Linked DNA regions of Mus musculus: all the other regions are reported to be linked to region 1. Evidence: microRNA targets listed by miRTarBase, many of them from high-throughput screens and not tested one by one. Region 1 holds a microRNA gene; each other region holds the end of a gene's coding sequence. Distances are between the middles of the regions.

The links. Region 1 holds the annotated microRNA mmu-miR-19b-3p (UGUGCAAAUCCAUGCAAAACUGA, at 1,768-1,790, opposite strand). A microRNA usually pairs through its seed, bases 2 to 8, with sites in the 3' UTR of a target mRNA and lowers its output. Matches are read on the target gene's strand: a 7mer-m8 pairs with bases 2 to 8, a 7mer-A1 pairs with bases 2 to 7 and ends in A, and an 8mer does both.
Region 2: the mRNA of Mid2 is a reported target of mmu-miR-19b-3p. Seed matches in the 3' UTR shown: 8mer at 669-676 and 7mer-A1 at 1,058-1,064.
Region 3: the mRNA of Npy2r is a reported target of mmu-miR-19b-3p. The part of its 3' UTR that is shown has no 7-base or 8-base seed match.
Region 4: the mRNA of Smoc2 is a reported target of mmu-miR-19b-3p. Seed matches in the 3' UTR shown: 7mer-m8 at 339-345.
Region 5: miRTarBase lists Vcpip1 as a target of mmu-miR-19b-3p. Seed matches in the 3' UTR shown: 8mer at 1,552-1,559.
Region 6: miRTarBase lists Hs2st1 as a target of mmu-miR-19b-3p. The part of its 3' UTR that is shown has no 7-base or 8-base seed match.
Region 7: miRTarBase lists Pak3 as a target of mmu-miR-19b-3p. The part of its 3' UTR that is shown has no 7-base or 8-base seed match.

The regions. Positions count from the first base shown.
Region 1 is chrX:52,740,224-52,744,293 of GRCm38, forward strand. Mir19b-2 (microRNA 19b-2) reads right to left here and starts at 1,843; the gene lies at 1,760-1,843. Mir363 (microRNA 363) reads right to left here and starts at 1,544; the gene lies at 1,470-1,544. Mir92-2 (microRNA 92-2) reads right to left here and starts at 1,705; the gene lies at 1,615-1,705. It overlaps Mir20b (microRNA 20b), which reads right to left and starts at 1,969; the gene lies at 1,890-1,969. It also overlaps Mir18b, Mir106a and Kis2.
Region 2 is chrX:140,763,561-140,767,630 of GRCm38, forward strand. Mid2 (midline 2) reads left to right here. Exons shown (of 10, transcript NM_001358366.1): 10 at 1-4,070. The coding sequence ends at 321. Among named protein-coding and RNA genes, the nearest start is that of Eif2c5, 11 kb to the right of the region's middle.
Region 3 is chr3:82,536,715-82,540,784 of GRCm38, reverse strand. Npy2r (neuropeptide Y receptor Y2) reads left to right here. Exons shown (of 2, transcript NM_008731.3): 2 at 1-2,402. The coding sequence ends at 464. Among named protein-coding and RNA genes, the nearest start is that of Npy2r, 9.3 kb to the left of the region's middle.
Region 4 is chr17:14,403,258-14,407,327 of GRCm38, forward strand. Smoc2 (SPARC related modular calcium binding 2) reads left to right here. Exons shown (of 13, transcript NM_022315.2): 13 at 238-1,533. The coding sequence ends at 255. Among named protein-coding and RNA genes, the nearest start is that of 4930474M22Rik, 6.4 kb to the left of the region's middle.
Region 5 is chr1:9,720,756-9,724,825 of GRCm38, reverse strand. Vcpip1 (valosin containing protein (p97)/p47 complex interacting protein 1) reads left to right here. Exons shown (of 3, transcript NM_173443.3): 3 at 1-4,070. The coding sequence ends at 344. Among named protein-coding and RNA genes, the nearest start is that of Mybl1, 23 kb to the right of the region's middle.
Region 6 is chr3:144,431,032-144,435,101 of GRCm38, forward strand. Hs2st1 (heparan sulfate 2-O-sulfotransferase 1) reads right to left here. Exons shown (of 7, transcript NM_011828.4): 7 at 1-3,683. The coding sequence ends at 3,457. Among named protein-coding and RNA genes, the nearest start is that of Gm34434, 51 kb to the left of the region's middle.
Region 7 is chrX:143,790,799-143,794,868 of GRCm38, reverse strand. It overlaps Pak3 (p21 (RAC1) activated kinase 3), which reads right to left. Exons shown (of 16, transcript NM_001195048.1): 16 at 1-3,634. The coding sequence ends at 3,545. Among named protein-coding and RNA genes, the nearest start is that of Capn6, 35 kb to the left of the region's middle.

The sequences.
Region 1 (4,070 bases):
TCAGTGGGGGAAGGGCACTTGCCATCGGGCCTAAGAAATCTAAGATGTATGTCCATGACCCACATGACTAGCTCCCTACAGTTGTTCTCAAATCACCACATGACACACACACTAAATAAGTAGATAGATAGATAGATAGATAGATAGATAGATAGATAGATAGATAGATAGATAAATGTATGTAAATGCTGGAAGTCTAGGAGTGGAGGGGTGCCTACCTTTAATCTCAGCATTCTAGAAGCAGAAACACACAGATCTCCGCAAGTTCAAGGCTAGCCTAGTTTACAAATTGAGTTCCAAGCTAACCAGAGCTACATACCAAGACGCTATTTTAGAAAAGCCAATAGTATTGCTAATTTAAAAAGAGAGCCATTGCCATATCCAGGGATCCATCCCATAATCAGCTTCCAAACGCTGACACCATTGCATACACTAGCAAGATTTTCCTGAAAGGACCCAGATATAGCTGTCTCTTGTGAGACTATGCTGGGGCCTAGCAAACACAGAAGTGGATGATCACAGTCAGCTATTGGATGGATCACAGGGTCCCCAATGGAGGAGCTAGAGAAAGTACCCAAGGAGCTAAAGGGATCTGCAACCCTATAGGTGGAACAACAATATGAACTAACCAGTACCCCGGAGCTCTTGTCTCTAGCTGCATATGTATCAAAAGATGGCCTAGTCAGCCATCACTGGAAAGAGAGGCCCTTTGGACTTGCAAACTTTATATGCCCCAGTACAGGGGAACGCCAGGGCCAAAAAGGGGGAGTGGGTGGGTAGGGGAGTGGGGGTGGGTGGGTATGGGGGACTTTTGGGATAGCATTGGAAATGTAAACGAGGAAAATACCTAATAAAAAAAAAGAGAGAAAAAAAAGAGAGCCCCAGGCTGGAGAGATGGCTCAGTGGTTAAGAGCACTGACTGCTCTTCCAGCGGTACTGAGTTCAAATCCCAGCAACCACATGGTGGCTCACAACCATCTGGAATGGGGTCTGATGCCACCTTCTGGTGTCTATGGAGACAGCTACAGTGTACTTGTCATATAATAAATAAATAAATAAATAAATAAATAGAATCTTTTAAAAAAGAAAAAAGAAACCCATTTTTTTTCAGACTTATATATCAGCTTTATTTTGCAAATTTCAGGTTTGTTTACATTCAGTGCAATCAAAATGTCAGGATTTCAAATATATTTAAAAATATGTAGTTTTAAAAAATTAGACTCCAAGCTGGGCGTGGTGGCGCACGCCTTTGATCCCAGCACTTGGGAGGCAGAGGCAGGCAGATTTCTGAGTTCGAGGCCACCCTGAGTGAGTTCCAGGACAGCCAGGGCTATACAGAGAAACTCTGTCTTGAAAAACCAAAAAAAAAAAAAAAAAATCCACTCCAAATGTGTTCAAAGCAATGACTAGCTAAAGGATTTTACAATCTTACTATAGCACTGATAGACGGCTGTCCACATAGGTCCTGCGGTTTACAGATGGATACCGTGCAATTTTCCTCCTATTACACCAACCAAAATTGCATCGTGTTCCACCTGATAACAGCAAAACAGTTCATTTCATAATTACAGTCTAACATAACTTACAATACTCAGAAACTAAAAGACGATTAAAAACCCTCTTTCTTCCTCAGGCCGGGACAAGTGCAATACTTTATATCTAACACAAGTAATGCCACCAATCCCCACCTGTGGATGAATGGGCATGGATGCTGAAGATGTGCATAAAGGTGTCCATTACGATGCAGAAAGGTACACATTCCCACAATCAGTTTTGCATGGATTTGCACAGCCATATATTCACATATACGCTGAACTGCAAATCTGCAAAACTAATCGTAAGTAGCAATGTCCTTGCGCTGTAGTTGCTTCAACAAGACCTTGGTTGATCCAGGAGTACTAGAAGTGCTCACACTGCAGTAGAGTGGTATAAAAACTACCTGCACTATGAGCACTTTGGCACTACTAGGATCCGAGCTTGTTCTTCTACACAACTGTATACTACAGTCTCCGCCATCTGTTTCTCGGCGAAACACTGAAAGAGCCTTTGAAACTTGTGCCGTTCAAATCATTTCTCAAGATATGCTTTTCAAATGCAAGGTAAGAAGTAGCCTGTGCGAGAAGGGGCATTTAGGGCAGTAGATTGTAAGCTGCTTCACTAACAGCACTAGATGCACCTTAACACAAGAGACACATTACAAGGAGCAGCTCAAAAACATCCACAATCTAACTATGCAGAAACCAGGGGACTCAGCGGCCTCTGATTAAATCACCATGGTAATGTAAGAAGTGCTGGCACTGCAGTAGAACTCAAAAAGCTACCTGCACTGTTAGCACTTTGACATGGCCAAGGCATACTCCAGGAGTGTAACCTTGAAGTCTTCCACGAACTCTTCTTTGCCAGATCTGCAGACTCACCTGGATAAACACACACACACACACACAGCAAGTAAGTGAACTGTGAGTTACTATTTCTAAAACAAGTTTGCCTTCCGTTAAGAGTGCAAATGGGGTTGTGTTACTTCAAACATTAATAAGCTCAATTATTTACACAGACTTAAACATGAATAACACTGGCAATCTCAGAATGTCTGACTCTTAAGAGTAAGAGGATTTTGGACTCCCTCTCCGTCTAAGGAAATTTGAGATTCGCATCCCAGAAAATTTGCAGAGCTGTAATATCCACCATGGTTTTCTAAGAGGCAAGAGCCCAGGAAAAGATGTAAGCAAAAAAATAAATAAATAACATTAGGGTGAGTACTGACGTCTTGAGCTCATCCAGAGCTTTGGGGAGCCACTCGGAAGGTCTCTATGTTTGATTACATGAAGCATCCCTGCCCCCAGCCCATTAAGAGAAAATGATAGAAATTTCAGAGCCGCTTTAAGAAACAGTTTTACACTCTTCACATACCGCACAGATGGCCTAGAGATGTCACATTTTCATCTATTTCAAAGGGCTCTACTTCTGTTTAAACATTTATGGACCCATTTTCTCCATTAAACCTAAAGAAGTCAGATTAGCTCTTTGGCTTCATGTCATTATCTTCCACAGGAAAAACCTCTCTCATTTCCAAGTGTGTATCTTACCCAGGAAAATGCTGCAGAGGACAGTCTGAGGGGTCACGAGCTCCCTCCCTCCCATGATGGAATGTTTGTGTTGATGGGGGGACACCAATAAACTTCAGGGACACAAAACTTGAAATGTGTTCAATGAGAAAGGATATTTTAAATGTTGGAACTTTTCGAAGCCACTTAGTGACTAAGATAGTTCTTAAAACATTTTAAATATAAATTAGCAAAACTTTTGAAGTAAATATGAAATCTGCTTCCTATAGTGCAAGTATTGGCTTATTATACTTTTCTTCTTGAACTGGGTTCCTACAACTAGAGATTTTTGCCTCCACTAAAAATATATTACAAAACCTGACTCAACTTCGCAAAACCATACCTCAGCCCTCCAGAGAAAGCTCCTTCTAGCTAATACCTTTCTTTAACACATCTGCTCTCCATCATATATACTAGAAAGTCGCTGTACAACTTCTAAAATTGCAAAGAGGACCCAGTCTTTTACCATTTCGGGATTTTCTCTGGTCTATTCCCGCATCTTCAGCAGCGGCTCCAGTAGAGATCTGTGAACCTCCTGGGAACGCAGGGTGTGCTCCAGCCAGTCATGCCACGCGCTTAGGTCTTCAAGACACCTTAGCGGCCACCAAAATTAAACAGAAAGAAACAAAGCATTATGGGAAACGGAGTTCTCCATTCAAAGCCCCCAAAACGCGCCAAGCTTAAGCCTCTCCCTCCATTCTCGGGTTGGTGGGAGGGAAACCAAGGTAGGTCGGGAGTCCTCCCGCCCCACACCCCACGTGCACCCTGGCATTTGACCACCCACAAGTTCTCCAGAAACCTTCAGAGCAACAAGGGAGAGTCCTTTTCTCACGAGTTGCCTGGCACCCCTCAACTACACTCAGGTACTTTGCTTTTCTCAAGTCTTGCCAGCTCCATCCCCTCCCACCTTAGTTAACTCTCTGGGATCACAGCTGCGCCCGCGGAGGTACGCATCTCCTGGTCCAG
Region 2 (4,070 bases), 88 Mb from region 1:
TGCAACAGTAACTTCGTGGTTCGGCACAACAACAAGGAAATGCTGGTGGATGTGCCCCCACAGTTGAAGCGTCTAGGTGTCCTTCTGGATTATGACAACAACATGCTGTCTTTCTATGACCCAGCTAACTCTCTCCATCTTCATACTTTTGATGTTACCTTCATTCTTCCAGTTTGTCCAACATTCACAATCTGGAACAAATCCCTAATGATTCTTTCTGGCTTGCCTGCCCCTGATTTTATTGATTATCCTGAGCGGCAGGAATGCAACTGCAGGCCTCAAGAATCCCCTTATGTGTCAGGGATGAAAGCTTGCCATTAAGTGTCAAGAGAGCATGTAAGTCACTGGCTCTCCGGTTCAGCACTTCCCCTCTTAAGCCTCCATTAGTGCTCCATATATGAGATGCAAACTAAAGTCCATTGGAAGCACTCGAAATAACTAGATATCGTAGATTTAAATTTTTGTGCATTAAAAATCATGTTTGAATTCATGTATTGAGTTACTCAGAACAAATTAATCTGAATAGTCTGGGTTTGTGCCACCAGGGAAGAATTCTAGAGAGTATCTCTGTCGTCATTGGAGAATTTAAAATTCCCAGTGATTTGGGAGTATAAATGATACTGTTAGCAATTAGCCCTTCTAGTAATGGCTAGTTTGACCAGGTAGAATTTGCACAGTGTCAAATTATCATTTATTATATGTCACTTTTTAATAAACTAATAAAAGAGGGGTTTTGAGAACAACATATACGTGCATATATAATATATAAAATGACTGAATTCATTTTATGAGCAAAATGACAGATAATTTTTATCTATTATGTATACACAATAAACCTTAATTTGCCCATTTAAATAAGAAATATATGGAAAAGGAAAATAAATGACACTGTCCATTCCTAACTCTTAGGTAAAACCATCATGGCTAGCCAGCATTTCTCTCTCTTTCCCTTACAGCCGTTCTTTCCTCCCTCTTGCCTCATGTACAAACACATGCAATCAAGACACAGGAAGTGAAAAGAGCTCTTGGTTAGATGAGGAGAGATCTGGGGACAAGATTGCACAAGAGATGCTAATGCTACATAGAAATTGGATTCTGGTAGAGAAGTGTCTCGTATAGCCTAATTTCATTGATACTGCTTAATGGAGGAGATTCATCTGAATTGTTAAAAACTATCATAGACTATTTCAAAGAAATATAGTTTTGTTATTCTCAAATACAAAGTTACTAGACTTAGGCTTAAGAATAGAGTTGTATAATGGAGTTTCTTCAGAACTCACCTTACTTGAACAGTAAGAATGGAGTGTTACAGGTTCAACAACTATATGTGTACAAATGTACTTATATTTTCAGACAAAGCACTGAAATGCTGTTTTCCTCGATAGGATCATACTCATTATTTTTGGAATTTTGTTTATACTATTCATTCATTTGCATCCCCTCCACGACAAACAAAAACATAAATTCCATCCTCGTTTTTATCACAGAAGTTGAGCTTCACAGCCTGTGATTTCACCATTTCTGTTGCGGAGATTAATTGGAAATGCCAGAGAAATAGAACCTTCTTCCAGGAGCCAAATCTACTTCTTGGCACTTGTAAAATGATTACTACTGTTTAATTGTTAAATGATAGTAGTAGCCATTCCCTGGATTGTATGTAGCCTTGATACAGTGTCAAACGTTAGCCCCTCGTTCTACTAGCATGGTGGATTCTTATTTATTCATTTGTTCAATGATGCCACATTACTGCTGCAAGAATGCACATATTACTAGAATGCAGACCTTGGTGTCAAATGTCTCACTCTTATGCACAAGAGACAACATATCTCTGTAAATCTCACCTAATGATCCTTACAGATTGTTTGCTTATCTACCACAAAAAAAGCAAGACCTGTGCCAATACAAAAGAAAGACTTAGATTTACATGCCAGGTAGCAAAGTCAGGTTCTCTGCCTTCAAAGATTATATGTACCGTATAGCTCATTAGGAAATGAGCAACTTCAGTAAAATTCAACAGTGCTGGTAGTTGGCTTGTGGTATGATAAAACTCCCAGCCTTGTAATTGAAATAGCCCTAGCTTCTCTGCCATTTACCTAACAGTGTGACCTCAGGAACGCACTTCTTCAAACCTGTTTCCTCTTCTGTAAAATGATCCCCAGTTTATGATGTAAAGCTGTAAAAAGGTTAGTGTGTATCAGTTGCCGAGCACAGCGCCTGGCATTCACTATGTGTGCCACCAACGTTCATCTCTTCCCCAACACCATTCATTTGTTTTTGTGTTCTTTACGTTTTAGTCCTGGGAACAAAGCTTTAGTTCCCCGTTCTACTATGGACTGCAGCTTAGACTACCTTTCCTCATCCCATCTTCTCAGCTAACTAGTGACCTCTGGAATTGGCATTTGTGGCTCCCTGTGGCACTCCCCTGGCACACTGAGACCCTCCCCACCCAGCAATAATATGGAAGTGTTTTCAGAATGCCATCATGTAAAGAGCCATTTTAGAAGTATTGTTAGTGATTTGTTCCTTAAAACAATTGATTCTTGGCCCCTGCCCCTGATATACTTAATTAAACTATATGAACATAAGGAAACTTACATTTGAGACAAGCTTCTCAGGTTGTTCTGAATCACACAAAGTTTAATGTAGAATAATAATCTTCCCTAGAATGAGACTACCTTGGGGTAAGCACTGTGGCTTTTGTTGTTGTATTTTTAAGACCCAGAACAGTGTCTGGAACAAAGTAGTTGGCTGGCTAATGTTTGTTGAAAGAATGTATGAACGAAGAAATGAATAATTCTAATTGCTGTTTGACTGTGATGTCCATTTGTGATATTTGTTATTCTTGGGGGCAAGTTGGTTGCTTTAGTCTGTATTGCTATTATTTTGTAAATGTACCAGGGCTTATACATACAAATGAACATTGTTCCAGATTGGCAGTTATCATGAAGAATTGTCTTTGGAGCACGTGGTATCATTCTACCAGTTACATTTCATACTTTCATGAACTTCAATGAACGTTGTTCTTGAAGGTAGATTTAAGTTTTTATTACAGGCAGAGTTAAGCCTACTGAATAAACTGAAAAATTAAATGAGGTTTGTGGGAAGCAATAAAGCTTGACTCTGAAATGCTAGCTTCTGAGGCACGTAATGCCTTCCAAGAAACAAAATGGTGGCAAATCACTCAGAGGGCTATGGTGAGTTCCAGATATTTACTTCAGTAAACTTAAAAGACTTTCATAGAACACTGGCAAGGGACCAGAGGGTAACTCTAGCTAAAGCCAGTTGCACCAATGGAACATGACCATTTAACATCATCAAGAAAGATGATTCTATAAACATGGTTGCTGTCGCTTTACTCCATCTAACTATTCAGAACTTTTTCTCCTAGAAAATTATTTTCTGTCTGCAATTTATGCTTGTTTCCACTTTTTATATTGTCTTATTAAAGAAAGCACAAACTGAAGCTAAGCTTGTTTTGAGACTACAAAAGAAATTTTAATGCCACATTGATGTTCTTGCTACTTATAAGAGTAACTGCATCTGGCTGTGTTTTTATGATGTAATTCCATTGTGTGTCTTTGGATGCAGTGAAGTTCATATTGTAACAAAATCACTTATATATACTTTTCAGCTCAGACATTCTAGGTGAATTCTCAGTTTACATATTTGTATATGACTACCTGGATGGATCAGTTCATGGATGGACTTTTGAACAAGCTTAGATGCTGGAACCCCTTCTATCAAGGAATGGAAAATGTGAGGCAGGTAGACATGAACCACTCCCACACTTACTTGTAGCTCCTGAAGCCAATTCCAGCCTTAGAGCCATTGGGCTGTATTTGGCTGTGTATTACAAGTTGGCCAGATTTATTGCCATCAGGTCAGGCAAAACTGCCTTTTATGGTGTGGTCTGCCAGCTTCAGAAATATGCTGTGTTATTGTTATTGGCTAGAATATTTATTAGACTATTGTTGAACTATTTTTTATCAAATGCTTTACCCCAGGCTTGTTTGTACTGGGAGCTCTGGACCAATAGTGTCTCTCCTAGTAACAGAAATATGAACATCTGT
Region 3 (4,070 bases), not on the chromosome of region 1:
ACGTTTTGCCTCTGGGCATCATATCTTTCTCCTACACCCGTATCTGGAGTAAGCTGAGGAACCACGTCAGTCCTGGAGCTGCAAGTGACCATTACCATCAGCGAAGGCACAAAATGACCAAAATGCTGGTGTGCGTGGTAGTGGTGTTTGCAGTCAGCTGGCTACCCCTCCACGCCTTCCAACTCGCTGTGGACATCGACAGCCACGTCCTGGACCTGAAGGAGTACAAACTCATCTTCACCGTGTTCCACATTATCGCCATGTGCTCCACCTTTGCCAACCCCCTTCTCTATGGTTGGATGAATAGCAACTACAGAAAAGCTTTCCTCTCGGCCTTCCGCTGTGAGCAGAGGTTGGATGCCATTCACTCGGAGGTGTCTATGACCTTCAAGGCTAAAAAGAACCTGGAAGTCAAAAAGAACAATGGCCCCACTGACTCTTTTTCGGAGGCTACCAATGTGTAAGGACACAGGTGTGAAAGCACATGGGTGAATTGTAACCAGCGCTGCCAATCTGGTTAGGGAAGGTTTTCTGGCCAGTGCATGCAGACCTCCCATTGTATTGACTCAAAAAGCAACAGAACCGAAGCCCCAGCAGTTTTATTTCTGGAAAACTGGCTGGCAGAAGGAGGTAAAAATAAACAGATTGCCATGGCACAACGTTCTGATTACCGATGCTTGGATTGTAGGTTGAATTATGAGTAGAGAAGGGAAGGAAAACAGAACAAGGAGTTGGCACCAGCATGGTTAAAAGGGAGAAGTAAGTGTTATCTCTGAGAGCACAGTAGGATCTGCATCAGGCACACTGTGGACTCCATGGGCTCCCTCATCACTTGATGAAAAGCTGCTAAACAACTCAGATTTCCCTAGGGAGCTACAGGCTCTCTGTTAGGGTGTTTTGGTTTTATTGTCTTTCCTAAGATGAAACCCAAATGAGAATGCTATAGGTAAACATGGCTTGCTACCTAAGGCGGTGACTTCAAGATAACGTCAAGAGAATAAACACATTTGCTATACGAGTAATGTTTTGGCAATGATGGGAGAGATTCTTATATAATCAGTGAGCAATTAGTTGTTGTTCAGATCAAATGCACTACTGTTGAAAGTTTGTTTTTTAGTTCAGAATCAAAATCTGAAATTATCATACTGAAAAGGAATGAAAACAATTGCTTTATTTCTGTTATAGCCATTCCTGCTTTAGGTAGATACTGTTTGGATGACAAGCGAGCAACTCAGCTCTTCTGTTTCTTGCTAACTGCTAAAGCCTTTTGGAACCACACAACTTTTGTTACCATTCCTGCATGAGAGCAAACAAAGTTCACACTAAAAGTTAAATCAGACTAAAACATAATTTTGTAACAATTTGAGTTTAGTTGTAAAAAATTGACCCCCTCCACCACAGCTCTAACATGTTTACAGACACTGTAGAACTATCTTCTTTGGAGTTCATCCACAATAGACCAATTTAAGTTAAGTAAAAATATAATTTCACTAAAGTGAACCCATTTGGTAAGAAATCTCCAAAACTGAGTTTATTCCACTTTGAAAATTTTGTTTTTATCCACAAATTTCACATAAATGTTCTCTTTTTTAAATGACTATATTTTTGGTAACATAAATACATATACAAAACAAAAGCATATCTATAAATAGGGAAGCATTAGAAAATTTTATTTAATAGTTTTATGAATATAGCTTTTATTTCAAAGGTACCCAGCCAAAGATAATTAAAACTCTATTTTGTTCACACAGAAAAGTACGAAAAATGAGATGTTAAAATAGTTGCACTTCTCTGGATGCTGACGTTTCAGTGTAGGCATATTTTTTGTAAATATGGCAGAATCTGTGAGTATATTCCTCACAATTTAGAAATATTTGATGTAGTCTAATATTTAGTTATGATATTAATTTTGTATATATATTTAAATCTCAGACTCTGGCTGTTATTAAATTCCTTTCAGTGTGGAAATAAAAGATTGGTCTCAAAGTGAATTGTTCTTCTAGAGTACTGAAAAGGAATAAAACACCAGAAGAAAAAAATGAATCTAAGGTGGAACGGGAAGTCCACCTTATACACTGCTGTCTGAAGTGAATCGTTGAACTATAAAAGACAGTCTTTCCTGTTGGACTCTGCACAGTCATCTGAAGAAGCTTTTTACTTTCTATGTGTAAGATACTTGCTTAAGATCTTAGTAGAAGGTTGTTGTGAAGTCTTTATGCCCCTTGCAGATTTCCTATCCTGTACAAAACCTGTCTGTTACTGTGACTCCGGCTGTGATGGTAAATTATTGGAATCCAATTAGTGATTCAATTAACATATTTGTGATTGAGTTCATATGTCAACTCAGTATTAAAGCATCTTTTATGTGCTGGTTTTAATGTCAAAATAAAAAGAATTTGAGGAATTGTGTAGAGTTTCTATGTAGCTCTCCCTCTGTCCTTTGGCTGAAACTGAGTCCCTCTCTATGTTGTGAGCACCCTTTTCACAGGGCACAGGGACCTATGAGTGCTCTGTGAGAACGCATTAGTCTTCATTTTCTGGCCAGATCTTTCTCCTGAACATCAAGCCTGTATCTTCATCAATTGATGAAACATGTCTGTATTGGCCCCACCAACACATACACACTGTGCCCCAAGCAGAACCTGCCAGGTAGGTACAAATGTCTCCAATCCCACTTCTAGGTGGTCAGCAATCTATTGTACACTATTTCCCAGCACTTGACTCTCTGAACCAGCCCCTAAATTCCTTTTCCATTTATCCATACTTAGTCAATTCCTGCATTTTAATATGACTCCTAGCTGTCTCTTGAACCAATTCACTTTTCTCATCCCCATCATACATGCTATGGCTATTTCCGAGGCCCGTATTCACTCTTATTAGGTTATTAGTCACTCCTATTTGTTCTCATTAAATCTTGTCATTTTCACATACAATCCAATACTTATCTTCTAACAAAAGAGGTTTAAAAAAAAGAACCTAAGGCTTTATTAAGTCATTTTTTTCTGATTAAAATCTTCAGTTATAACCTCATAAGTCTCATTTTAAGCGTTTTACATCTTATTGAGGATAATTTGAATGACTTGAAAGGCTGTTAAACATCTGTGTTAAGATTCTCTAGAGCATAGAACCAATAGAAGCCATATATAATTGTAAGAGGGGATTTATTAGATTACTTCACATGATCAGAGGCTGGACAACCTTGAGATGATCATCTGCAGAGAGGAGATCAAGGGAAGCCAGTAACTGCTTGGTTTGAAAAGTTGAAATCTCTGGGACAGGGGTATGGATGCTGCTGCCCCAGTGTGATTCTGATGGCCTGCAAGCTCCCTGGAGAGTCCCTGATATTAGGCAATACTGGATGGCTGATGAAGCTGGAGTCTCAAGTTCCTGGGTGATAACGGCAGCTGTAGATGGACTCACCAAGGAAAACTGAATCTTTTATGTACTGGCCGCCGGCTTCCTCTCCCATTTTTATTTCCTCTGAGCCTCTGATCACTTGGGTGGTGCTGCTCACATTCAAGGCAAGCCTCCCCTGAGTTAATCCTCTCTGAAAAATGTTCTCCCAGACACAAAGACTTCCCAGGTATCTGTCAATCTCATCCAGCAGTGTTTGCAGGACCTGTTTGTGTCTGTCTGTTTGACCTTACCCAAATTCTTTTCGTCCAGCTGCTAGAGTTTAAGGACTCTGAAGAGGTGTTGTCTTAATCATGTAGAATTGCAGTACTTGTAGTTCCTGTCATCAAATTGATATTCAATAAATATTAATGAGATTCATCAAGGAAACTGGAAGGTTTTTGGTTTTTTTTTTTTTTTTTTTTTTTTTGAGATAAGATCTCTGTCCTGCAGCCAGGCTGGCCTTGGGTTTAATAAGGAGCTGAGAATGACCTTGAACTCTTGACCTCCTTGAACCCTTTTACCCCCTAACTGCTTAGTTACATCAGTGTTCCACTGAGTGATGCTCGAAAGTCAATTTTTGAAGTAAATATTAAAGCTAGATCCATGAAGTAATAAACCATAACTTTGACCATTTGGCCATACTTCATCTAGAAAAACAGTTTCCAGAAGTCTAA
Region 4 (4,070 bases), not on the chromosome of region 1:
CAATCTTTCTCAGATGATATATTCTGCTGGTGATTTCCAGGGAAGAAAAGACTTCCTAAACAACGGGCCCACTCATTCTTTACTGTAAGGTACCCTGTCCTTTCCTGTATGGCTTCCCTCATAGCAAGTAGGTTTATTTTCAGGAGCAAGTCATTGTCTGCATAGGGAAGACATAGACATCTTCCTAAGATTATCTTCATTTTGTTGTTTGCTTGTTTGTTTGTTTTGTTTCTCCAGCCCAGGAAACAAGGATGAACGGCTGACTACTCAAGACAGTTCCTAGACATGTGGGAATTTTCCCTCACCAAAGAGCAATTAAAAACAAAAAACATATAGTATTTGCACTTTGTACTTTAAATGTAAATTCACTTTGTAGAAATGAGATATTTAAACGGACTGTTGTGATCTGTGAAAACGGAAGGCTGGCTTCGGGAAATTAATCACATACAATGTATGTGTCCTTGTTTGACCTTCAAGATCTGTGCTGGTGGGGTGGGTTTTAAATGCATTTCAACTTCACTTCCTCGTCCCTCTGTGGAGGGCCTGGTTTATTCCCTTGCCCTTTCCTCTGCCTGCAGTCTCCGTTGGCTTGCTCTCCGTGCTCTTGATGCCAGCCAGAGCCTACCGTATCCTTAGAAGCTTGCAGTGGTTGCCTGTTTCATAAAGTTTTGCTCTCTAGAGATGTCACTCACACCATGGGTCACACAGGCACTAGCTCAGGCATAGCCTTAACTTCCAGTAGCCCCTGCTTGAGACTATGCTGTTAGGCTCCAGTTTTAGCTTCTGCTTGAGCCAACCCTACTGTTAAATCCCCGGGGAGCTGAATGGACAAGCAGCCAGAGAGTCCTCTTTCAGAGAGCACATCTAACTCTGGCCTGCCGACTCCATCTCATTGGCCCAGGAAGGATCCAGTCTACCTGCCTCACTTCTGAGTGCCTGGGCCATCCTGCTAGGGTCCACTGGAAAGGAAAAATGCCTTCTACAGAGATCATGGACCACATCCTGAGGAAGGCACAGCTAGACTACATCGTCCCAAGAGTGCTGAACAACAGGCAGCTGAGAATGTCAATTTCATTTTGTGGAGGCATCGGGTTTGAGGGAATTCACCCAAGGCCACTATGGGATGAAGGTTATGAACTGGATGACCATACTGTGAGAGACTGAACTAGATTGGGTGTATGGCTGGCTGTCACTTTCTGACCTAGGTCAGTCTGTACTCTCTGTTCTCAAGGAACAGTGGCAGATGGGAGGAGAGCTGGGGCAATTCTTTCAGATTGTGGTTTATATGGGAAATTGTTCATGGTCCCCAGCCTCTCAATGTATGTCTGTAGATGCATTGTGAACGCATGCTGCAGAAGGCCTTTGCTCATTTGAACTGTGTAGAGGCAAGAAGTGACCGGCTCATGTCAATGCTGTCTACAAACGAGTATGATCCTAACTGTTTTGGATAATCTTTTATATTTCTGAACTCTGAATTTAATCATTTTATTAGATTAAAATATGCGATTAAATTGTGTGAGTCTTCTTTTCAGCATTTCATAAAAGATTACTGTTTAAAAATTAGTTTTTAGATTATTCTAGATGTGTGAGAGTCTTGCCTGCCTGTATGTCTGTGCACCTCGTTCATGTTTGGTGTCCGTGGAGGTCAGAAGAGAGCATCAAATCTTCTGAAATAGTAGTTACGGACAGTTGTGAGCTGCTAGATGGGTACTGAGATTGAATGTGGTTCCTCTGCAAGAACAACAAATGCTCTTTACACTGAGTTCTCTCTCTAGTTCTTCATGATTGCTCACTGTAAAATGTGTCCACTAGTGGAAGCCAAAGTTGTGGGTGCTAGCCCAGCAGATTTGGGTCTGATTTTGCCTGTTGAAGGAGTCTGTGTGAAATGGGATATGTTCCTCAACTTTTCTGAACCTTGGGGTTTCTTTTCCAGGACTGGAGTGCTGGTTCATTCCACGACAGGTGGCATGTATGAGTTAATAGTTGTGAATGCTTCAATCTGCCCTGTGTGATACACTAGAAGTTTCTATGCCCTCTCTGTGTGACAGACCTCCAGTATGGATTAATGTCACCCGCCCCATGCTTCTCCTGCTGCAGACACTCCAGACATGACAGAAGCAGTAAATGGCACCTTGTTTTATCAAAGCTACTGCTATTCCACGAGGCAATTAACCAGTACCCCGAAGGTGACATTTTCCTTCTCCCATTCCAACCTCCAGAGCTCTGCAACACCCTGATTTGCTCCGTGACATCTCACGAAAACTCTTGAAGTCCCTTCCCTCCCCGGTCAATCTCATCCAGTATCTCTACTTCATCTCTGGTCCTCCAAACTCAGCACAGGAAAACCCTCAGGCTGAGCAATGATGACACAGGAAGAGGGAATGAGAAGGCCAGAAGGGCACAGAGTGAAGAAAGGGTTTAGGCCAGGTTCTAAAGAAGGCACGAGAGAGGACAGAATGTTCAGGAGGCTGACAGATCATGGGTGAGGCAGGAGCTACACATGGTTCTGATTGCAGGGCATTAATACTGAAAATCTAAACCAGCAGTTGGCTCCCCTCTCTGCCCACAATAGCTACATTTAGGGTTGGACGCCTCCTCTAGAATGCCCCATCACCGTCTTCCTTTCCTGCATCCTTGCCATCCTATGAGGATGCCTTCGGAAGCACACCGAGCGTCTCATACATCCTTTGCACAGATGTTACATATGAACTGTTTCCACTATCAATGTGAAATGTCTCAGCTCTTGCTGAAACTGGTGTGGACTGACTAATGTGATCCTAGGCTTCCAAGGGCAAAACCAAATTGTGCAAGCAACGCTACTCCAGAAAGACAGAAAAAAAAAACCCATAAAGGGTAAAACCAGAGGAACAGATGATGATGGTGAGGGTAGTCAGGATGCTGTTATTGATAATAGTGATGATGGTGACTGTGGTGGTGTTAATGGTGGAGGCAGTAATGGTGATGATGACATAATGATGACTATGCTGATGATGGTTATGATACTGATGATTGTGATAATAATGTGATAATGGCAATGGTGGTGATGATGATGATGATACAGTCATGATTGGTGGTGGTGGCAGTCATGGTGGTAATGGGGATATGATGTGATGACTGTGATGATGGTTATGATTATCACCACAACCACCGCCACCATCACTACAGCCATCACCATTACCATGACCGTTACCACCACCACCATCGTCATCATGACCACCATCATCCCCATTATAATCATAGTCACCCTCCTCCTGTCATCCAAGTAGGATGACAATGAAGCAGGGAAGCCTTTTCAAGCAGGAGGAAAGTGACTGTGATAATAACAGTGATGGTGGTGGTCATGATGCTGGTGGTGGTACTGTTGCTGCTGCAGCTACATGATAATGGTGTTGCAGGGGAAAGATGATTTTAATCTTAATACCATAGCCTACCCCACAGGCCAAAATTTGGAATACATTTTGAGTAATTAGATATCAAGACATTTTTAGTATTTCTTCCCTTTCGAAAGATGTGCTGGCCACCTTTTTCCTATTTTTCCGCTGTGCTGCGAACAGCTCCCATGGAACACTTAGCAGCTCAAGTATGTCTGCTTTGTTTCTGTTCTTGCCTCTGTGTGTGGTCTGAGATAGCCAAATAGTCAAGACCTTGTTGGACCTGGTTCTTGGCCCCATGCTGGACACAGGACTACTCTGGGCTCTCACCCTTTGGATGAGTGTGCCTTGGGGCATTTTCTCTAATGGTTGTGCAGACACAGTGAGCTCAGCTGTGTAAGTGCCTGCTTGTCTGTCTGTGCTGCCAATTCTGTCATGCGAGTCTGTCTGTCATGAGAGTCAGTGAGTGCCACAGGCCAGGAAGCCATGACAGGGTGGAATGCAGGACAGAGCTACACTCCTGGGCCCCAGTCTGCGCATCATGTATGTGGATATTCTGATAACAAAACACTAGTTTCCTGAGGTAGTAGGTAGAAAGGGAATGGATGCTGAGCACTGTGGGGAGAATGTAGCTGTGAGCTCCACACTGACCTAGCGTGGCTCATGGCCACATAAACGCCCCCAAAGGTGTTTTTCAAC
Region 5 (4,070 bases), not on the chromosome of region 1:
AATTGCAGGAAATGGTTTCTTCTATTCAGGCTTCAATGGACAAGCACTTGCGGGATCAAAGTGCAGAGCAAGCACCATCTGATCTTTCCCAAAGAAAAGTCGAAGTTGTGAGTTCTGTGAGGCCTGTGAATCTTCAGACTGGCTTGCCTGAACCGTTTTCTTTAACTGGTGGCACTGAGAATTTGAATACTGAAACAACTGATAGTCATGTAGCAGATGTACTGGGAGCAGCATTTGCCACAAGGTCAAAAGCACAAAAAGAAAATTCCATGGAGGAACCTGAAGAGATGGATAGTCAAGATGCTGAGACGACTAACACAACTGAGCCGATGGATCACTCGTGATTTAATTTAGAGGCTAATAAAGGCAGAATGTTTATTGTGAATATGTAATATTTGTTGGCTGGGCCACATAACTTGAGTAGTCATTAAAAATCTTGTACGTATATAATTCAAAGATTATATCTTGTTATTCAGTGCATGATAGCAAGTGTGTGATTGGCAATAGCTTTTAATATACTGCTGCCCAGGCTGGCTCTGAATTCTTGTAAATTAGTTTAGATCTTTTGAAAGGGTTTCTTCCAGATATGTGGTTCATTGGAAGTTCTTTGTCATTTTTAATTCCATGAAAGTCTTAATTTCCAGACATGAAAATTCTCTTGTTAAATGTTTGGTTTCTGCACAGGCCAGAATTGAAGAGGAAATGACAGTTTGTACACATTGTTTTCAAGGTAGCCGTCCTACATTTCATGAGAATGTTGATTTCAAGTTTACCTGAACTAAATGTATCTTAAAATACATAAAACACTTTATTAGATTACTTATAATATTATAGAGACAGCTATTGTTGGCAAAAATATCTTGACAGAAGAGAGTAGTGATACAACATTTTCCTGATTTGAGCAAACTTGGGAAGAAATATCTACCCTAGTATGATAAAATCAGTGTGATTCAGTTAGTTGGTCTGAGATATGGCCAGTTGTGTGCTCTTGTTGATAATATGTTGCCAGTATTTTTTAAATCTTGGCCTTGTCAAGTTCCACCTATTATTTTTAAAATCTTACATAAAAGAGAATGGCATTTTGTTTTAGAATATTTAAAAATAATGGTAGCAGTAGTTAATTTCTAATTTTCAGAGTATGTCAGAGTCACAAAGAGTTTATCTGTATGAATGGTTCTATAGTTTTGACACAGTGGTGTGTAAGCCTGTATATGCTAAATGTCTCTAAGCCCCTATGAACCAAAAATGTTTTCCTTTTTTCTTAGTGTCCTTAAGATTTTCTTTTTGTCAGCTTCACTTGAGTTTGGATGCATAGTTTACTCCAGTAGACCATTAGCATTTGCTTATATTGCTTTCATGCTTATGTAGTAAAAACAATGCATATTCCTGAGATTGGTACTGCTCTTGTATTCTGTTCTGTAGATTTGTATTTGTAAATGTGTTTTCAGTCCATCTTCCTTTGTTTACTGAAATTAAGTTGAATTTGAATGAACGAATGACAAATGTATGTTAATATAATCTCTTAGAGCATTCAAAGCCCGGCTATCTCTGTTTGCACATGTAACAGATGCAGAACTGTTTGCAATTCTACAAAATTGTATGTCAGAAAATACATTATCAGGTGTTTAAAAAAATCTCTTCCTGTTCATTCGAAAAGAATGTTGTACTTGAACTTTTTCTAGATAAGGGAGGTTTTTTGTTTTTTTCTGTGATAGTATCTTTAAGTGAGTCTACATACTGAAAGTCCACTTTGTTGAATGTGGAAGGAAGGGAGAATCTAGATGTTTTTAAAGTGGAGCTGAGTTTAAGATAATGTACACCACCACACACACCTGGGTTAGTGTTTATCACATCATACTTTGAAATATTTTATCTCATTCATTTATATTAAAGTTCCAGGAAAATATATAACTTTCATATACTAATTTTGCATGAAGTAAGATAGCCAAATTCTTAACAATTAGCTGTGCTTTAATGCCCCCCCAACCCCTCCACTAACCACTATTATTTTGGCTTAGTCAGCCACTGAGATACTCTTCTCAATTTTTTTTCCTGGTTTAAGTACACAAAAACTGCTCAATAAGCAGAAAATGTACTGTGTCAAATAAATTATATAATCACCCTGCTTTAACAGATGCTCTTCTGTGGCTTGGTATTTTAAGTTAATAACTGGCAGGATCTCAAAGTAGGAGTATCAGAAACAAGTTTTGTTTTTTCCAGACATGGTCTTACTACTATGTAGCCTTGGCTGGCCTGGAGCCCACTCTATAGACCAGGCTGGCCTTAAAAAGAGATCTGCCTGCCTCCGTCTCCCAAGTGTTGGGACTAGAAGGCATACTATACCATGCCTGGCTAGAGACTAATTTTATCTCTCTATTAAATACTTGAATTTCGTGTAAATTATGCACATGTGAATGTTAGAAGATGGACTTAATCTCTGACAATACTTCATTGTCTCTAGTGACCGTAGTGGTATTTAGGGTTAGAAACTTAATTGGGTATAAAGAAAAGTTTGGGTTCTCCCTTGATAGAAAATACAGACAAACAACCAAACAAAAAACAGGTTTGAGAATTCATCAGAATTCTTGAACATATTTCAAATCAGTTGAATGAGATTATTAGTGGTTTGGGGTAAATTTTGAGAGAGTTTGTTTTAAACATTATTTGTGTATTTTATGTGAGTGTAGATGCATTTTTACCATTGTGATACCACTGTGCTATGTCAGGGCAGCACAATAGCTTGTGATCTCAAGTAAAAATGGTTTTTTAGCCCTAGAAGTAACATAACTGTAACTTAAAGCTATTCAGTTCTATTTGCAGTGTTCACTGAATACTGAAGTAATACTGTAAATATTTTTCTTCAGTAATCCATTTTGTAACCATACCAAGTTTGAGTTGATGACCCGAAGTCCAGGCAGTTAAAGGTAGTGTATGTCCAGAAGGCTGGTAATGAACAATTGCTCAAGTTGAAGGAAACAAGACACTGCCAAGTATTATGAGTAGTATACAATTAGCTCCAAGGGAATGGTCACTCAGAAACTAAAGAACAAGCCTATCTAGCCATTTCATCTTCCACCCCTTAAACTATGTTTCAGGTGTTTATTGGAAATAATTAGGAAAGAGACCTGAGAAATTTAGCAAATGCTAGTATTTGAAATGCTTTATACCTTCCTATAGTCTTTAGTTTGGTTTTTACAATTAAGCTTTACTGCTTGCAGTTGAGATAGCATTCTGGAATGTACTTGTGAGACTAGCCACAGGTCTTACAGATCTTTATTGCCATTATTTTAAGGATCATATTCATTGGATATTAACACTGTCTTAAATAGGGTCTCTTACCTCAGGGAAGATAATTTGCTAGCAACTCCTATATTATTATTGACAGGTTTTGGAGAACTACTTTGACATATCACATGTTAGCTACCAAATGCAAAAACAAGTATTATGTAGTTACCTGCTGTCTGCTACTGAACATTTCTCTAGATATTTAGGGCCCTATTATTAAGTAACATTTAAATACGAAATAAACTTCTAAGTTCTGTCATTAGATACTTCATGTTTTCACTATAGTGATACTATATTTTTTTAAATTTCAGAACATTAATATAGTTTTGTCCTCATTTTTCAAGTCAATTTAATTTGCCCAAACTTAAATACTCAAATACAAACAAATCTTGAGAATTTTATTTTTCTTGCTTCCCCTCCCACCACCCTTGATCTCAAAGCAAGATTTTTATAAGATTCTTATAAAATCAGAGCCCTTGCAAAATTGGTTTAAATTCCTCTCATTTTAAACTTAGATTCAAAGTTACTTTTTTATAACATAAATAGATGCATATTCTAGGTTGGCTAGATGTTCAACTTTCCAAGACTATAACAAAATTGTACAACATAGAGGCTCTTCACAGTTAGATTTTTTTTTTTTTTCAAACAAGAACAGCTCATGAAAATAGGCCATGGTAGTAAAATGTGTATTTAAGTAACGAAGGGGAGATAAATCACTAATGTCACAGAGTTAATTGCAAGTTCTGCCATTCTTTGAGATGCCAAGTGTTTCAATTCATATTTAA
Region 6 (4,070 bases), not on the chromosome of region 1:
CAGAATTTTAACATAAATTAAAACACTAGCTATGCATTAGGGAACTGGGCTTTAGATAAGTTCTCTAGTACTTTTAGATTTTTCAAAAATTTCATTTTATTCAAAAAAGAGAATTGTCATCTATAAACTATTTCATATCCATCTATGCAAATACAACATCAAAATACTCTGGTAAGTTCCCTGATGGAGCAGACAATTTTAGGGGTTTCCAACAGGACACATAATGAGGAAGATCAATAGAGTCCAAATTATAGGTGCTATCTGGATTTTCAGCACAGAAGGGAAAAGCAAGTGTTTAAAAAGCTGGCAACTTGGAGTTTTGAGGGTTTTGGATATTTAAATCCAATGCTCAGGAGGCCAGAAGCAGCGGATGTTAGGGACTGTGTGACTATCAGGGGACACAGAAGCAGCTCCTATGCGGTGCTTCAAGGTTTGCTACCAGATATATTCAAGTGACACTAGAAATTAAAGCCAGAGGAGATCAAAACATAACCTCCCCACTACATTTTAAAACAGAAAGGTTTATCAATAGTGGCCATTTCTCAGCAATAAGAAGACGGTTGGTACAAGCTGAACACACAAAGCTACCTCTTCTTCTGTAGGAAATAAACATAGACACACACACACATTGACATTATCGTTAAAATTCAAAGTGGTTATTTTGCTTTACTATCATATAAAAACCATTTTTTTCTAAGGTCAAATTACTGAAAAAGCACAAAGGCCAAAAAAAGAAAAGCATTTGCCACATGTAAAAAATACACATTGTCTCAGTGGTTCTATTCATTTGATTACACAGTTATATGTTCTAAGGACTCAGGCTCCCAGGACTCTTAGAGAAGCAAGCCCACCCTTTTCTTAGTCTCCAGAAAGGACACTTGGAATCCATTCGCTCCAAAAAGCGATAAAAGAAATGTCCCGAATCTGTACAGGTGAGCTAGGAAAACGAGTCACCTGACAGCAAGGTAAGACAGAAGGAAGCTGGGGAGGGACTGAGTCAGAAAGCAGTCCTTGGGGTCACGATCTGGGAGACATGGGAGGTAGAGGAACTCTTTGGGGAACGTGGTCCGGACACAGACAGGGCTTCTCCATGACAATCCCTCACAGGGTGAGCGAGGGCTTGCGGCTCATGGTTCATATCTAGTATGCCTTCTGTTCTGTAAATAAAGGTTTTGCTAAGCTCTAACCACGGCCCTTTGCCTCTCCTGTCTGTGACAGCGACTTTCCAACAGTAAGAGCTGTACAGAGACCTGACTCATTACCTGGTCTTTTATGAGGACAGTTTAGGGAAAGTCCCAGTTAGTGTTCTAAGTGCTGCCTTAACTACCTAAGAGTTTAGTGCGAACTCTCAAGAATAACCTCAGATTTACTCAACAGCCAGATGCCTGCCTGGACAAGAAAACAACTTGCTTTTAGCAGGACCTAGAAACTTGCACTGGAAAGGACGGAGGGGGAAGGGAAACGTTGCTATGTTCCCCTAATACTTTCATCTCGGCGGAGCCTGTGACTCAGTCGTTCCTTTAATCTTCCTAAGTGCTTTCTGATATACAGTGTCCTTCACTCCTCCTATTACACAATAAATACTTTAAAGTCTTCTGTTGAAAATGCTTTGTTTGATGAGGTCCTGTTTAGAAACATTTAAAGATACAAATAATTACTCCTTTAGAAAAGTGTGTCTGAGAGGAATCTGAATCCTGGCTGTAAAGAGGGAGTAGGTGAAGAATTAATAGAGAAATTAAATTCTACAAAGGACACTTTAACAAGCACAAGTGTAAAATAGCCACCATTTTCGGATGACAAAGTTAGATACAAACAAGAACATCCTTCAAGTTTATAGAAGGCTTTCCTGCTCCTCAGCTAGTGACGGTCTGAGTCTCTCGAGTGCATAAGCCGTTCACACTTCAATAGTTGCTTAAGCACAGAAGATAAAACACTGAGAAGATATTTATCAAACACAAATTTATATCAAGAGGAAGGGGTTTTTTTTCTCATAAAGCTTAAAAGTGGATTTTCCCTTTTTGTTGCTAAAATAGAGACTATGAAACTATCAGCTAGAGATACTTCTGTGACAACACCTCACATTTGAACACCACGCCACAGTTTTAAAGTGCTCTTCGCCATGCCATCTTCCTTAGTCCTCACAACATCCCTGTGAGGCAGGGAGAGAAGGTCTTAGTGTCCTGATATCAAGATGAGGAAGCTGAGGCAGGGAGGTCAGGTGACTTCCTAACGTCACACAGCAGGAAGGTGACAGCAGAGCTGGAACCAGAGATGGAACCCTCAGACTCTACGACCTTTTCTATGACCACTACTGCCTCAGGGGTGAGCACTGTTCTCTATCAAACTTGAAAGGCTACGTTAGCTCATTTTAGTGACATCCTAACAGTAACGTTAAACGAGAAATACCAGAATAGGATAGGAGGTCTGACGACTTTACTCGACATAATAAAACGGGTGCAACACCACTGTTGTCTACTTACTTGTAACTTTTTGGTCCAAATACATAAAATATGCAATATTTACAGCACTTTCCTTTTGTAAATGCAATGCTTTAAAACACATTATAAAGCACCGTAGTAAAAATAGTCTACAGGTAAAAGTACAGAGTAGGCAAATCCTACCCACATCACAGCTCACTGATGGAGTCGCCATGTGCGGTCACCAATATGCCAGTGTTCAGGGGTACAGATACGCCATGAAGGAACAAGTATTAAACTCAATTTTTTGATATTGATATGTGGAAATCCTTAAGAAAGCCTCAGATAATGTCCACATTCTTAGAAATATCATTCCAATATTGGATACTGGGGTGACAGGAGTCAGGAATACTGCTTTAACTTTTTACCTTCTTACAGTATTATTCATGGTTTAAGTTGATTTCTTTAACACTAATGATCATCAAATAAAATAAAATAAAGCCTACATAAATATGGGCAAACCCAACTGTAGCAGAAATGTTCTGGGAAAACACGATCAAACATTCTAATAAACTTTGTGAGACATGATTCATACAAATAAATCAGATACTGCCAAACATATTTTAGCACTATCCAGCAGAGGTGGCGGCACAAACTCCAGAAGGGTAAGTGGCAAACAGACTCCTCTTCATTCAAGGAGAGGCAAAGAAATGCTTATGCAAACCTCTTCTGAAATGGTATTCAGCCATCTGACTAAACGTCCATGTGTGTATTTTAGGCAATGTAAGTCCCCATGTCCCTGCACCAGGAGAAGATTATAACTATCATGAAAACGAAAATAAAACAACAAAAAAGTAAAAATGCCAGAAAGTTAAAAACTCCACAGGACTCCGCCAGCCCGCCAGCATCTCACTCCTTGACATTCATGTCTGTCCCCAGCTCAGCGTGGCTCACAGCTCGCACACGCATCAGCAGGGGGCTGAGAAGGGTGGTGACACAGTCAAGTTCCGGGGCAGGAGTGCTCTGGCCACACCTGCGCTCAGTTCGACTTAGGGTAAATCTTTTCGTAGAAAAAGTTCTGGGCCAGGATGTAGAGGTCTCCGTCTTTCTCGCGGACAGCGTGAGCTCGGATGAACTGGAACTGCTCCAGAGCAAACTCATAGAACTCATTCTCCATCTTCCAAATGTCAGACTGCTGCAGCTTCGCGATAGTCTGCTTGGTGGGCAGCTTCTTCTCTGTGGTTTTCCTAAGGTGAGATTTCTTTCCTACTTACGATGGAAAGACAGGAAACATAAATAATTCTTACAGAACACACACAGACATGCCTCTTTACTTGAAGAAGTGGTTTCTGCTAATAAGACAATGTGAAGGGCAAGTAACACATTACCCTATAACATTAATAACATAATCCAGCAAAATCCAGAAAGCTAACCTCATCCGAGGCAGCACCATTACAAGGTGAATCCTTAAAAGACCCAACAAAATGCCCAAGTAGTAAATGCAAGACTCCACTCAGTAAGTGGAGTCTCTCACCCTCTCCACTCTAAGAACCATTTACTTATTTTTAAACAACCACCACTACCAGTGTCCAGTTGTGTGTGTGTGCGTCCCTGGAGTCAGTCCTTTTCTCCTATCACATATCTGGGCTCCTG
Region 7 (4,070 bases), 91 Mb from region 1:
ATGTTTCTATAGTTCCCCTTCTGTTGTTTATTTACTTAAATTATTAATATATCAATATCAAAGAAAGAAAATTTCGGAAAGAAAAAAAATCACAGAACCCCACCACCCTATCACAACTGATTTCAGTTTTCTGTGTTCCCAGTCTTTATCCATATTCACACTTCTTTTTACATAGATGTAATCCCTGTGTGTATTATTTAAAAGTGACTTCATAGACTCTCTCTGAGAACTGGCAGCCTCATTAGAAAGAAACGACCCATTGAGGAAATGGATATAATTATTTACACGATCTTTGAGGTGAGAGATATCCATTATAGACAAACATCTTAAACTATCAAAACAGTTATACAGAAAACAGGAAGCAATTTATATTTCTTTTTTTTTTCTTTTAGCAATGGAATGTGCTTCATAGGGGAGGGATAGATGTGAGGAATAGGTGGTTCAACTAAACATTGGAGGTGCAATTCATATGCCTGAAAGAAATCTGAAGAACACAATTAAAGAATAAATACTTGAGTTAAATCTTTTCATGTGACTTGGCCATCCAGTAGCCAAAATGGAGCATGGACTCACAAATATTTACAATAACACACAGACAAGATCAGCAAGAACGAAGTCATTATCCAACATGTTGATTGATTTAGGGGGATTACGTCATCCCCAAAACCACATGGGATTTTGACAACAAACTGGATCCTTGCTACAATATTAATGTTCTATTCTTTCTTAAATAAATAAACTTTACTGTGCTTCTCACCCCTCCCTGACTTTGCCACTGCCCTATTCTTACCTCGGGACATTTTTGAATTGACATTCAAAAATGTGCCCACAAATGTCTCAGGGCACACTAGTAATGTTAAAGATCTGAACAGCCTCACCTGGATTAAGATGAGCTCAAAATGAAATCAAGGAAAGGGAATAAACTACTAACCATCTGGAGGCTAAGTTGTTCAAGTATAGCAAGTATGGACCCTTCAGCATCATTTTGGCATGAGAAATAGTTTCTCTCTAATACTTATTAGAAATATATGTAACTCTTCAACACAAGTAAAAGACTTTAGAAGCTGTTCTCATTTGAAAATGTACACAGGTATAATTTTGTACAAGTAATGCCTACTGGAACAGACTATTAAATCTTGATACAAAGTGATGGTAAATAAGTACCTGGCCCTTCACTGTTAATAGGCAGAGTGGAGGGCATCAAGAACAGCCATTTCTCTGCCAACAGTGACCTGAAGGACCACAGCTCCAGGGTCTTCTAAATAAGGATAACAACAACAGGAACAACAAGAACAAGAACAACAGCAACAATAATAAAGGCCTTTACAACATGCAAAAGGTGTTAACTGATGTCTTGGACTTCCCAACCAGGGTTTGGGTTCTCTCTATTAGCTGAGCATAACCATCAATCAATTGGATTCTATTTACATCCCAGGTATTTTGTGGAATTCCCTGGCACAACAAGTGGGAAAATCCTCAATTTAAAATAAAGTAGAATAAAAAATTAAGGTTCCTCCTCTCTCACTAAAGAGGTGTGACATTTAAATTTTAGGCCCAGATATCTCTTTGCAAAATAAACTTGAAATTAATATAATCATTTGATTTTCTTTTCACATTTGTCTTTTATTCCATGGTGGATATTTTCAGGGAATGAGTAAACCCCTCCCAAATCTTCTAATATAGGAAAATAGGAAATCCACCAGTGGTACCATCTCTCAACATAAACATATGTACTAGATGATCAGCAGAAACTCTAGAGAAAGTGCTTTCACTTCAAGGAAAGGATGGATGCTTAAATGGACAGATGGACCTCACAGGGCAGAGGGGCATCTGCTCCTCATCTTGCTCCCCCCACTGAATGTAGGTAATGTCTATTCAGTTTCTCTAACTCTACAAATTAAGAAATGCCATATAACATAGATTGTTGGCTTGTCAAAGGCTTAGAGAAACAACTTTCTAGAATTCATACAACTGACTATACACTCAAAAGAGACATATCCTTTTCTATGCAGACACCTTCCAGATGTTTTTCTACTCACAGAAGATTAATAAATTTTTAATAACTATAAATAGTGAAATAATAGTCAAATTTTGGAATTTTCCTCAAGCCACAAAAGGAATTCCATTGGGCTATTTCTTAGGAAATATGAATACAGATCAAAATTAAATTTTTTGGTGAACTTCCAACACCTTTATGAACATGCTTTTAAAGGACAAAAGCCCAAGAAACTAAATAAGAACATACCAAGATCAAGTGCCGAAAAAGAGATTGGAGATACATAGAAAAATCATTTTCAAGTATTTAGAGCCATGTGTTAACTGGGATGTAACTTTCATTGACTTTCCATTTCTTAAAGAGTTGAATACTTTACTATATCTCTGATCTCTAGCTCTTTAAAAAATTCTTATGTGTTACAAATTGCCCAAAAATGAATATTTTTATCATGAAAAGCATTGGCTAATGGATCTATTTCCTCAGAATGTGCCTATTGTACAATGCTTATGTTACAGGCGCACAAGAGAGGAATAAATTCACTATTATCTTTGCTTATTTACTGCCCAATGAGGAGTGATGCATTTTCCTTTTGGCTCTCAGACAAAGTCCCATCTTTGTGTAAGTAAGGTTTCTCTCATCAGGATATCCTAGGTTTAGGATCACCTGGACTCACCCAGCAGCACTGCCACATTTTCAGTGTGTCCTTTTTCTGTTATCACAGAGGCCAACAAGCTGCTTTACATGACAATTCAACTACTACATTAGCATCCATGCGAAATGTGAAAGGATCTCACAATTCGAGCTTTGTTATGACACAACGTTTAAAAGACCATCCTGAACACTCATAGTCCTCTCTGGTTTTGGAAAATGTCTTAAAGGAAACCTTTTCCAATACAAATGCAGAAAATGGGTAGACAAATCAAGCCACCACTACAGAAGAAGAAGAAAAGCTTGCGACTCTATTAGGGCATGGACGTCCACGGCTTCACACGGCACTTGTTCTATTTTTTTTTTTTTCATTTTTGTTGGTTTTTGTTTTGTTTTTTCTTTTTTTCTTTTTTGGTTTTCTTTTTTAAAAAAACATTTTGACATCTTTTATTTTTCTGAACATCTAATGACAATGCAAGTGAAAAAACATCACGTTGGGTAAGGGATTTTGAAAGAGGTTCGAATGAAAGAGGGACTACTCTCTAACTTAAAAACAAACACAGCACTATGAAGAGGGAGTGTGCATCTTTGAGAAATCTTTTTTTCTTCAAAGTAAATGCACAAAATGAGGGGATTCACTACTGGCTCTTTCGCTTCACGGTGGAAGTGGCCACTTAATGGCTACTTCGACATTGCTGCCCTGTGTGGGCTGCAGTTCAGGCTTACAAATAAATTACATAATCTGAGGGAGTAGGAAAAAGGTTTATAAGAAGTTTCTATTCACTTAAAAGTTAAAGAGCCCCCACTCCATTTGACTGTCTCTTCTTCTGTGGATCCTGCAGCAGAGTTTTATTTCAGTCTTACTCATCCTGGAGACCGTGAGGGGTAAGGCTTGCAGTTCTAACGGCTACTGTTCTTAATTGCTTCCTTTGCGGCGATAATCAGAGGAGTGAGACTAGACAGAGGCTTGGCTAATTTTAAAAACGGATGCTGTAAAAGGGAGAGAAAAAAAGAATTACTAGAATTCTCCCTTCCCATGAATAGAGTGGTTGTCAACCTTGCTAATGTGTAACCCTTTAATACAGTTCCTCATGTTGTGGTGACCCCCCAGCCATACAATTATTTTGTTTCTACTCCATAATTCTAATTTTGCTGGTTATGAGTTGTAATATCTGTAAATCTGTAAATATCTGATATGCAGGATATCTAATATGTGATCCCCAAAGAGGTCATGACCTACAGGTTAAGAACTACTGCATTAGTGTAATTTTACATTTTCAAATATGCTCCTTTGCATTTAATTGTGTTTCGAGTACTCACTAATTAAAGAATCCCTGCCAGCTTTTGTCCTTCAGATTTTCTTTTCCTTTTTTGGTCTTTAACTGTCATGAAATCCTATGGAAATTTACTTGGCATAGCTAGAAAC